2 separate regions of the Mus musculus genome follow, and region 2 is reported to be linked to region 1. The links are microRNA targets in miRTarBase. Many come from high-throughput screens and were not tested one by one. Region 1 holds a microRNA gene; the other region holds the end of a gene's coding sequence.

Evidence for each region. The annotated mature microRNA mmu-miR-186-5p reads CAAAGAAUUCUCCUUUUGGGCU and lies in region 1 at 1,195-1,216, shown strand. An mRNA with a match to its seed (bases 2 to 7 or 8) in the 3' UTR can be bound and repressed. Matches are read on the target gene's strand: a 7mer-m8 pairs with bases 2 to 8, a 7mer-A1 pairs with bases 2 to 7 and ends in A, and an 8mer does both.
Region 2: the mRNA of Stxbp4 is a reported target of mmu-miR-186-5p. Seed matches in the 3' UTR shown: 8mer at 3,206-3,213 and 7mer-A1 at 3,874-3,880.

What each region holds. Positions count from the first base shown.
Region 1 is chr3:157,543,091-157,547,518 of GRCm38, forward strand. It overlaps Mir186 (microRNA 186), which reads left to right and starts at 1,189; the gene lies at 1,189-1,259. It overlaps Zranb2 (zinc finger, RAN-binding domain containing 2), which reads left to right. Exons shown (of 10, transcript NM_017381.3): 8 at 68-154; 9 at 1,874-2,032; 10 at 3,585-4,428. The coding sequence ends at 3,648.
Region 2 is chr11:90,477,128-90,481,340 of GRCm38, reverse strand. Stxbp4 (syntaxin binding protein 4) reads left to right here. Exons shown (of 18, transcript NM_011505.2): 18 at 627-4,213. The coding sequence ends at 741. Among named protein-coding and RNA genes, the nearest start is that of Gm34850, 6.4 kb to the right of the region's middle.

The DNA.
Region 1 (4,428 bases):
CAGTGTTCATATCACAAACCTCAAAAATGTGGTCCTAGGGGAAAAAAATGCTTCCGTGTTGTTCCAGGTCCCGTTCAAGAAGCTCTTCCAGTTCGCAGTCCAGGTCTCACTCCGGTTCCAGAGAACATTCCAGATCCCGTGGTTCGAAATCAAGGTGAATGAGGTAGCGCCTCTGTAGAGCAGAGGAGAGTGCTCACAGGCTTCAGACGGCTCCGCTGCTTCTCTCATTGCCCTGCTTCTGTTTGTCCGTTCTGTTGTAGCCCTGGGAATCTAACGCACCTACCTCAGCTTAATCTCACCACACAGTGTTCCCACCGCACAGCGTGCCACACATTCCCACGGTTGATTAAAGGGGGTGGGGCTTGCACATATAGCTAAGATACGTGTGATGTAGGAAGGTGAAGGCAAGTTACTCCACCTGGTATATTAAGTTTATGTTTACAGTTAATTTAAATTTGACATACAAGTGAGAAGTTATTTCTGAGAGGAAGACCAACCATTCCATCATCTAGCTTCGAAACATTTTATATTTCAGGCAAATGTTTACAATAGCTTTGCCTGGTTTTTCTCAGTTTCTAGTGAGTGCTCTATGTATTTACTACATCTCCCTGACATTAAAGAATATTATAAATTACCTGTATAACAAACACCCCTCTTAAAACCAAGTCATGTAGGATGTTGGCTTAAGTATGGTTTGATATAAGCCATGCTGTGAGTATTTCAAAGGAAAATGATTGGTTAAAAAAAAAAAAGGCAATAGAAGCATTAGGCTTTTGGTTCCTTGAAAAACTTTTTTGTACTTGCTCACTATGCTGCCTTCATGTTCAGTCACTGTATTGTTGTGTCCTGCAGGCATACAGCATTTATACGAAAGCCTCTAAAATCTCACTTGTGGCTTTTACATTGACGTTTCCTAACAACTCTTCTGTAGAAAGACTCACTTACTTGAGCCCATTCTAACATTTGAAGGCAGCTGCCATTGAGTCCCCCTGAGGAGAGAGAGGGGTAATGGAGCACTGACCAGTGCTCTGCTGACCAGCGCTGAGTAGAGCAAAGGTTTCTTTCTTATTGCATTAACTATCCGTGCTCACTTCAGACTGTGGAGTCTTGGTGTGGCCCTCTGGGAACTGTAGGACTGAGGTTTACAGGACAGCCTTCATATCCTTCCCAAACATTTAATTGCTTACAACTTTCCAAAGAATTCTCCTTTTGGGCTTTCTCATTTTATTTTAAGCCCTAAGGTGAATTTTTTGGGAAGTTTGAGCTAAATGCCTTCAACTAAAAATATGTAAATAGAGATAAATTTGCTCTTTAAATTACACATTTACTTCCACTTAAAACATGTAAATGTTACTACTTCATACTTCATAGCACAGTTCTCATACAAATCACATTGTAGAGTTGCCATTTTCATTGACTACTTCACAGCTTCAGTGTTCTTTTTCTGGGCCATGTCCCTCAGGTGTCTGTAGCACCTGTAAGAAGTTAAGTTCATTGTCTTCAGCAAGCTTTATAAAAAGTGAATTTTCCTGACAAATGGGAGGATCTATTTTCTGACTATAAAGTCACCACAGAATTGATTTCACTGTTTGTATACTTTAAATTGGAACACTATAAGCAATTATAAAAATATTCTGTCTTAATTCAGTAAACTACTTCTTAATTACCAAGGGTAACTATTTAGAATGGTTTAAAGAGGAAATGATTGTGTGTAAATAGAACTTGTTGATGGTTGACCCAGAAGCCTTCTGAGTAAGCAGTAAGTATTCCCTCCTAAAGTCCTCATAGTCACAATCCTGTTTGCTTTTGGGAACTGGACAGTCTTCACTTCTGCCTTTAATGAAACGTCTGCTTTGTCTCTCAATCAATGAAGATCCAGCTCCAGGTCCCACAGGGGCTCTTCTTCCCCAAGAAAAAGATCTTATTCGAGTTCTTCGTCATCTCCTGAAAGAGACAGGAAGAGGAGTCGCTCTAGACCTTCTTCACCAGCTGTTCGCAAAAAAAGACGAACGAGATCACGGTCACCCGAAAGGTTTGGGTTTCTGTAGAATAAGAATGGGTGTTCTTATGTGTATTTCATAGGTGGACTTTGTAGGCAAGGGTTAGATTTCTTTCTCCTTTGTTCTTTAAATTTTTTATCTTTAAACTTCAAAATTCAGATTACTTTGTTTATCTTGCTTATTAGAAAAAAATTACAGGACAGAATATTCTCTAATCATTTTACTGTTCAAATTTTATTTCCACGTATATTATAGCCAACTCTCGGTTATTTTTGTGTTTTTAAAGATCTAAACCCAAAAGCTATATGTTGAAATGGTTTACATGTGTTTGTTTTTTAAGACTAAATGTTAGAGATGGTAGGGATCCTAGGGTACCTAGTCAGGATGAACTTGCAAAATCATGGGGATCTGTCCTCCTTTAAATGTGTTTAAGTTTTACAAGTGCATTTCTGTAGCACGTAGCTTTTATGCCCTTTACACGCCCTTGGAGTTAATACTTTTTTCATCTTGCAGTCCAGATCCATTTTCCTCTTTTGAAAAGGACCTTCTCTGGGTCCCTGTATCTAGAGTGCACTTGACATGTGTCAGCCTTTTCTGCAACAGACTTGATTACTTGATTTCACTAATTGTCTCTTGGCTTTCAATGTCATAATAATGATTTGTGGCTTCACTTGTAGTCTTAGCAAATTTTCCATATTCTCTCAACTTGTGAAAGAAAAGAAGGCTCATTAGATCTGGTGACGGCTGGGTTTAGAGGGTAGGGTCAGAATTACATGTCCTCCACATTCGAATTTCAAGATCGTACCCAGTCTTCCTTCTGTGCATTGTTTCTTCATATGAAAATTACTCTGTACTTGAGATAAATTCATTATGTTGCCATTCTACTTCTTCTGCGAGTTTTTATCTTAGCCACATATAATTCCCCCCCCCCCCCCCCAGTTTGTTGTCATCTAAACTTAATGCACATGTTCTCTATTCTATAAGCCAGGTGATTGGTGAAAACATTAAACAACCCTGAGCCCAGGGCCAACCCCTACGGAACACCACCACTTTTCCCAGGTTGATACTGACTTACTCATGTTGGCTGCATGACTCTAGCACTAAAAGCACTAACTGTACATCACCTTATGTGATCTAGACTTCCAAAACTTCATTGCTTTGAATGTACTTTCTCATGCACTGTGCACTCAGAAGCCTTGCTGTGTTCCATAGAGACCCAGTGTGTTCTCTGTGGTACAGCATACATTGATTTTGTCACACCTTACCAGGATTCTTTGCCTTTCTTGTACATATATGAGATTATGAGCTTTTTTCAAGGCTTTCCCTTCATTACCTTGAATAATTGAGAGGTGGCTATATTTGAAATGAGTTTATATTCTTAAATTATAGAGAGTTTTGAGTTCAAATCACACCAATTCTGGGCTTATATCAAAAAAGTTTATAAGCTATCTTAGGTTTTAAGTTCTCCTGGGAGCATCAAGGTACCTAGTGTGTGCTCTGCTCTTCTCTGGTGTTTGCAGTCTTAGGAACAGACACCTGGTCTAGTGCTGTTTACAGATTGTTCTGCTCTCTTATGTCTTACAGGCACCACAGGTCGTCCTCCGGATCAACACATTCTGGTTCCCGTTCAAGTTCAAAAAAGAAATAATGTATTAAAATTTACATCTTTAAAAAACATTGAGTACAGTGCATGAAGCATATTTTTTAGGAAGTTGATGTCTCATTTGGTCAGAAGTACTACATCTGCTAGTAGAGGTGCATGCCTTTATTGCTTTTCAAAACAATACAACTGTGTTTATTTGTGAAACTGAAAGTAAATTGCATTTTAAGCCATATACTGTTCCCCAGATAAATGCTCTGTTCATTATTTACAACCATTTGCTTCATTTAAAACCATCCTAGCAATAACAGAGTACTTTTGTTTCCTACTTTAAATCCTTGTCCTTTTCATTTCTAAATGTTCTATTGACAGAGACAGGGTTGCCTGGGCTTGCCTGGACTTCAGACACATGGGCAAAGCTAATAAGCTAGTTGGAATTACCAATTTATGTTCATATGGGGTTAGTAGTCAACCTGGTTATGTTATTTACCTCTGCCAGTAATTTCTTACCAGCAGTTAACTACGTTGCAAAGCTGACAACTGGGAACAAGCTGAGGGTGCCTTAGAATCATTGTCTCTTAACAGCTTTACACCTCTTAATGCAAGAGGATTGTAGAAATTATAGAAGAAAAAGGTTAATCACATCATTTCAGAATGTTTCTCAAAGTTTAAGAAATGCGGATATCCTTTTACCAAATCCTAGTTACCAAATATTGTACTTGATCGATAAAGGATTTTTAAAAAAGGCTAAATCATAGTTAATGAGCAAATTGAAGAAAGCTTTTGAAACCTGTTTCTCAGTGGCAGGCTGACAGGGACATGAATTTA
Region 2 (4,213 bases), not on the chromosome of region 1:
ATATTTCAAGAACAAGAATATCACTTGCAAAACTTGGTTTTCTTGCTTCCTGCTCTCCCCATCCGGGTAACATTATAAGGGAAGCAGTAGTTAAATTAGAGATCGTATGGGTTCAGATGGAAGGACTCATATGGAGAAATTTCTTCTTTGGAGTAAGTGTGCCCTGACTCACTAGGGAAGAGAAATGCCCTCCAGAATCATACTGTAGAATTTTTCTTGACCCAGAATTGAGTAGAGCCGAGTATTTCTCAAGTAAATGACAGTGTATGCTTTGTCGTTTGGCCTGGTCTTTGGAGTGGAGTGGGGAATGAACACTGGAAAGGAGGGCAGCAGACAAACTCCAGAGGTGTTGCACACAGCTACACAGCCACAGACATACTCACAGACAGTGTCCTTCAGATGAGGAAACAGGAGTTTGAGGTGATATGTTCATCTTCATTCATGGTTATAAAAGACCCTAAAACCTCTCCAAGCCTTCTTAACACTACTGGATCTGGTTCTAATTGCTTCCTGTCCCAGGGGCCAACAACTGGGTCGAAGCAGGTAGTCCCCAGAATCAATACGTGTTCCGTTACGTAGAAAGAGAGCTGTTCACATGCTAATCTGCACCCCTTGTTCTTCCCAAGCCACGTGACACAGACCACGTCCTGGATCCACCCCGTGATGAGCGCCCTGAACCTGTCCTGTGCAGAGGAGAGTGAAGAGGACTGTCCCAGAGAGCTAACAGACCCGAAAAGCTGATGGGTTTCCATGGGAAATGGAGCAGCAGAGTCCTCTGGCTTCTCAGTCCATGTCCACAACCAGACACAAGCCACCACACCCCGAGACACAGGAATCCAGCACGTGCACCAGGCAGGGTGTCAAGTCGCAAGTGTGGTATTTTCGTGTACATGTTAAAGATCAGTTGCCACTACAGTAGTTTTTTTGGAAATAATCTAGTTGCATTTATTGAAGTCATTTATAGTCAGATTTTACATGCATAAACCTCTTTATAATTAGATCTTTATAACTCAGTATGTTAGCTCATTGTTTGGTATGAGATACAATGGTTTGTATATCAACACTTCATATTGAAAAGTTATACGAACATAGCAAACTCCTTTTTATAACTCTCCCTCCCAACCCACAGCTTAGGAAAAATGTTCTGAGAAAGCGAGGGGAGGCTGCCTCACAGCTGTCCCACTAGCTGCTGACTACAACTTGTACCAAATAGGACACCACCTAACTTATATTATTAGGAGACATCTATCATTTATAAAGTGCTTTCAAGCCGGGCAGTGGTGGTGCACGCCTTTAATCCCAGCACTTGGGAGGTAGAGGCAGGCGGATTTCTGAGTTCGAGGCCAGCCTGGCCTACAAAGTGAGTTCCAGGACAGCCAGGGCTACACAGAGAAACCCTGTCTCGAAAAAAAAAAAAAAAAAAATGCTTTCAAACCTCACCTTACTTAAACCAAACAGCATAGATTTTGAGCTGATCTACAGGGCAGTTCTACTCATGGCTTCAGCTGGAGAAACAGTGGTTCAGAGAGACAGAGCAGCCCATCCCAGGGATGAGACTCACACCTTATCTTCTGATTCCGTGTCCAGGCGCCTTTGCCCTGCTCCCTACTGTCCCCACAGAGGGAGATTGCAGCCCAGCAGAGTATCTACAGTCTGTTGATGCAGCTGGGTCCACAGCTGTGCATTCCACAGCAGTCCAGAGGACACCTCAGAGTCATGACCCACTCTCTTCCTTCTGCGGCCCCAACCCCACCACCACCACCACCACCACCACCCTTAGATACCAAGCAGGACACTGCTCTGTGACTTTTCAGTGGGCTTTGTATTTTCTAGACTAGAGACACTGGCTCATGGCCATGCTTAGGTGCCATGAGCCAGTAGGAGCATCTAAAGAGAGCTGACAGGAGAAAGGTATTTGTTTAAACACTGCTGGAGCGCTTGTAAAAGGATGGAGGCCAGGAGCCAAGCAAAGCAGCGCAGCATCACTTAGGCAAGCATAGAGCTCCCAAGAACACGGTGCAAGAACCTTCACTCAGGGCCACTTTATAAGTAAGTCACGGAGTTCCTGCAGTGGAGCAGCACCTGTGTCAGCATCAGACCCTAGCTCCTTACATTCTCTGCTGAGTTTTACCTGGTATAGGGAATGCATATGGAAAATACACATGGGCATCGTGCTCACCCATACCTCTCTGAATACATTTAAGATGTAGGGTTTAAGCTGAATGCACTTAGGATTCATGTTTTCCTTCATGAGGAAGAACATAAAGTCAAATACAGACTGACAAGGAGACTCGAACCCTAACAACGACAGAATGGCTGGAGCAAACGTATGCCTCTCCTCACAGCTGTCTGGATCTTAGGATGCTTCGAGAAGCGGGGTAGGGGTAGGTGGCTTTGAGAGCAGCTGCAGAAGGACCTGTTTCAAGTCCCAAAGAGGTGTGAACAGGCACTCACACGCTTTTATAAGACCGTCTCTGCTGTGACACCAGCACACTCCTGTTAGGAGATCATTCTCCTGCCTCGCATTGGAGAGTGTCCTCAATTGTTTGTAAGGGAAGCTGAGATGGGCTCCTGAAGCATGCAGTCTTTAATCTGTATGTGTGCATGTGTGTGTGGCACTCACAACCTCTCTGCTGCTAGTATCAAGTCCCTCCCTATTTCTACCAAATACATAATCAAAAAGATCTATAAAAACACATAGCTCTATGTACTGAGCACTCTATACCATACATTTCGGTATACAATGAACATCTTTTGGGAGGTCTTTTTGGGATAGCCACTCTCTGTGTATACCACCCTGGCCTTGAGTTCACAATCCCCCTGCCTCAACCTCCCAAGTACTGGTATTTCAGCAACAAGTACCTTCTTGAAGGTACCCAAAGTGATTCCAATTTTATGAAAAAGCTGAGGTTTAGAAAGAAGTGGTCCCAAGGATCCCACCATGCCTTTGTGTTGATGCTGGATCTGAGGCAAGTCTTAGACCCCAGGGCTTCCTTAAACCAGGGTGTAGAGCCTCCTGGATTTAGTCAGCCCTGCAGGACTCCAGCTTTCAGTCACGAAGAACTTCCCGATTTGTAAGAAAGGAATTCTCCAGGAGAAAATAGCATTCCATCAGGTTCCTGTGTAACTGAGCATCTCATGTGAATGCAGCTAAGGAGGTTGAGCCTCTGAATTAGCTGAATCAGGCGAACACTCATTGAGAACTATTCTTTAGTCCCTATGTCCTCACCCATGTGTTCCCTTGGGATGCTCAGTAGCTACCAGCGGTGTGACCAGCACTCTGGTCACCAGGGCAAAGCAGAGCTACAGCTAACCATTTCAAAATAAAAATGATCTTGAAAGTCAGAATTTGTTAACTTCTAAATTTTAAAAATAGTTTCTTTTCCTTTCAAAAACGAGATCAAAGTTCTGTAGAAATAAGTCGAGTTAGATAAATAGCCCGTCTAACTTTCTGGAAGCTGCCGTCACCAATATTTCAGTAACTATTTCCCCTCGAGGGTAAGCCTGCCACCCTTAAACAGCTCCCCCTTGAATTGGTATGTTGTGGTCATCTTTTCATGGTGATATACGCATTCTGTTGCATTTTAAGTGTCTGCTTAAGCTATCACTTCCCAGAATACCCTTCACCAGTTGTTCAGCAACTCATTAAAGAAATCTTAGGCTACTGTAAGGTCTTTCCCGTAACAGTGTCATGGCGAGCATTTGTGTATTTATTAAAACCTTTTCTTCAAGTACCCCCGCACTCAAACATGAGCGTCTGTAGACTGAATACTTTTGAAAGCCACTGTGTCAGAGTACAAAGTTTTGTCACTGAACAAAGAGCTTCTCCATCCCTGCCTAAAAAACCTGGATTTTTGTTTTAAATTGGATATTTTCTTTATTTACATTTCAAATGTAAACCTGGATGTTTTAATCATTGGGTTTTATCATCTCTTTAGCATCGGAGACTGGCTTGCTGTGTGGGGCAGAGTCTGGCAGTGACTAATTCAGTGTTCCACACATGGCATTCCTCTCAGTGTGTTCTACTTTACATGTAATGATGATAAGGACTTGCTTCTAAATTAGCAGAGAGAGCAAAGGCATGCATACAGCATGCGCACCATTTCTCTATCTGTGGAACAGTGGCATACGTCCCTGTGCCCACACAAGGCAACTCAGCATGCATCACCTGAGCACCTACTAAGTGCCTGACCATGCAAAGTATTAGAATTGT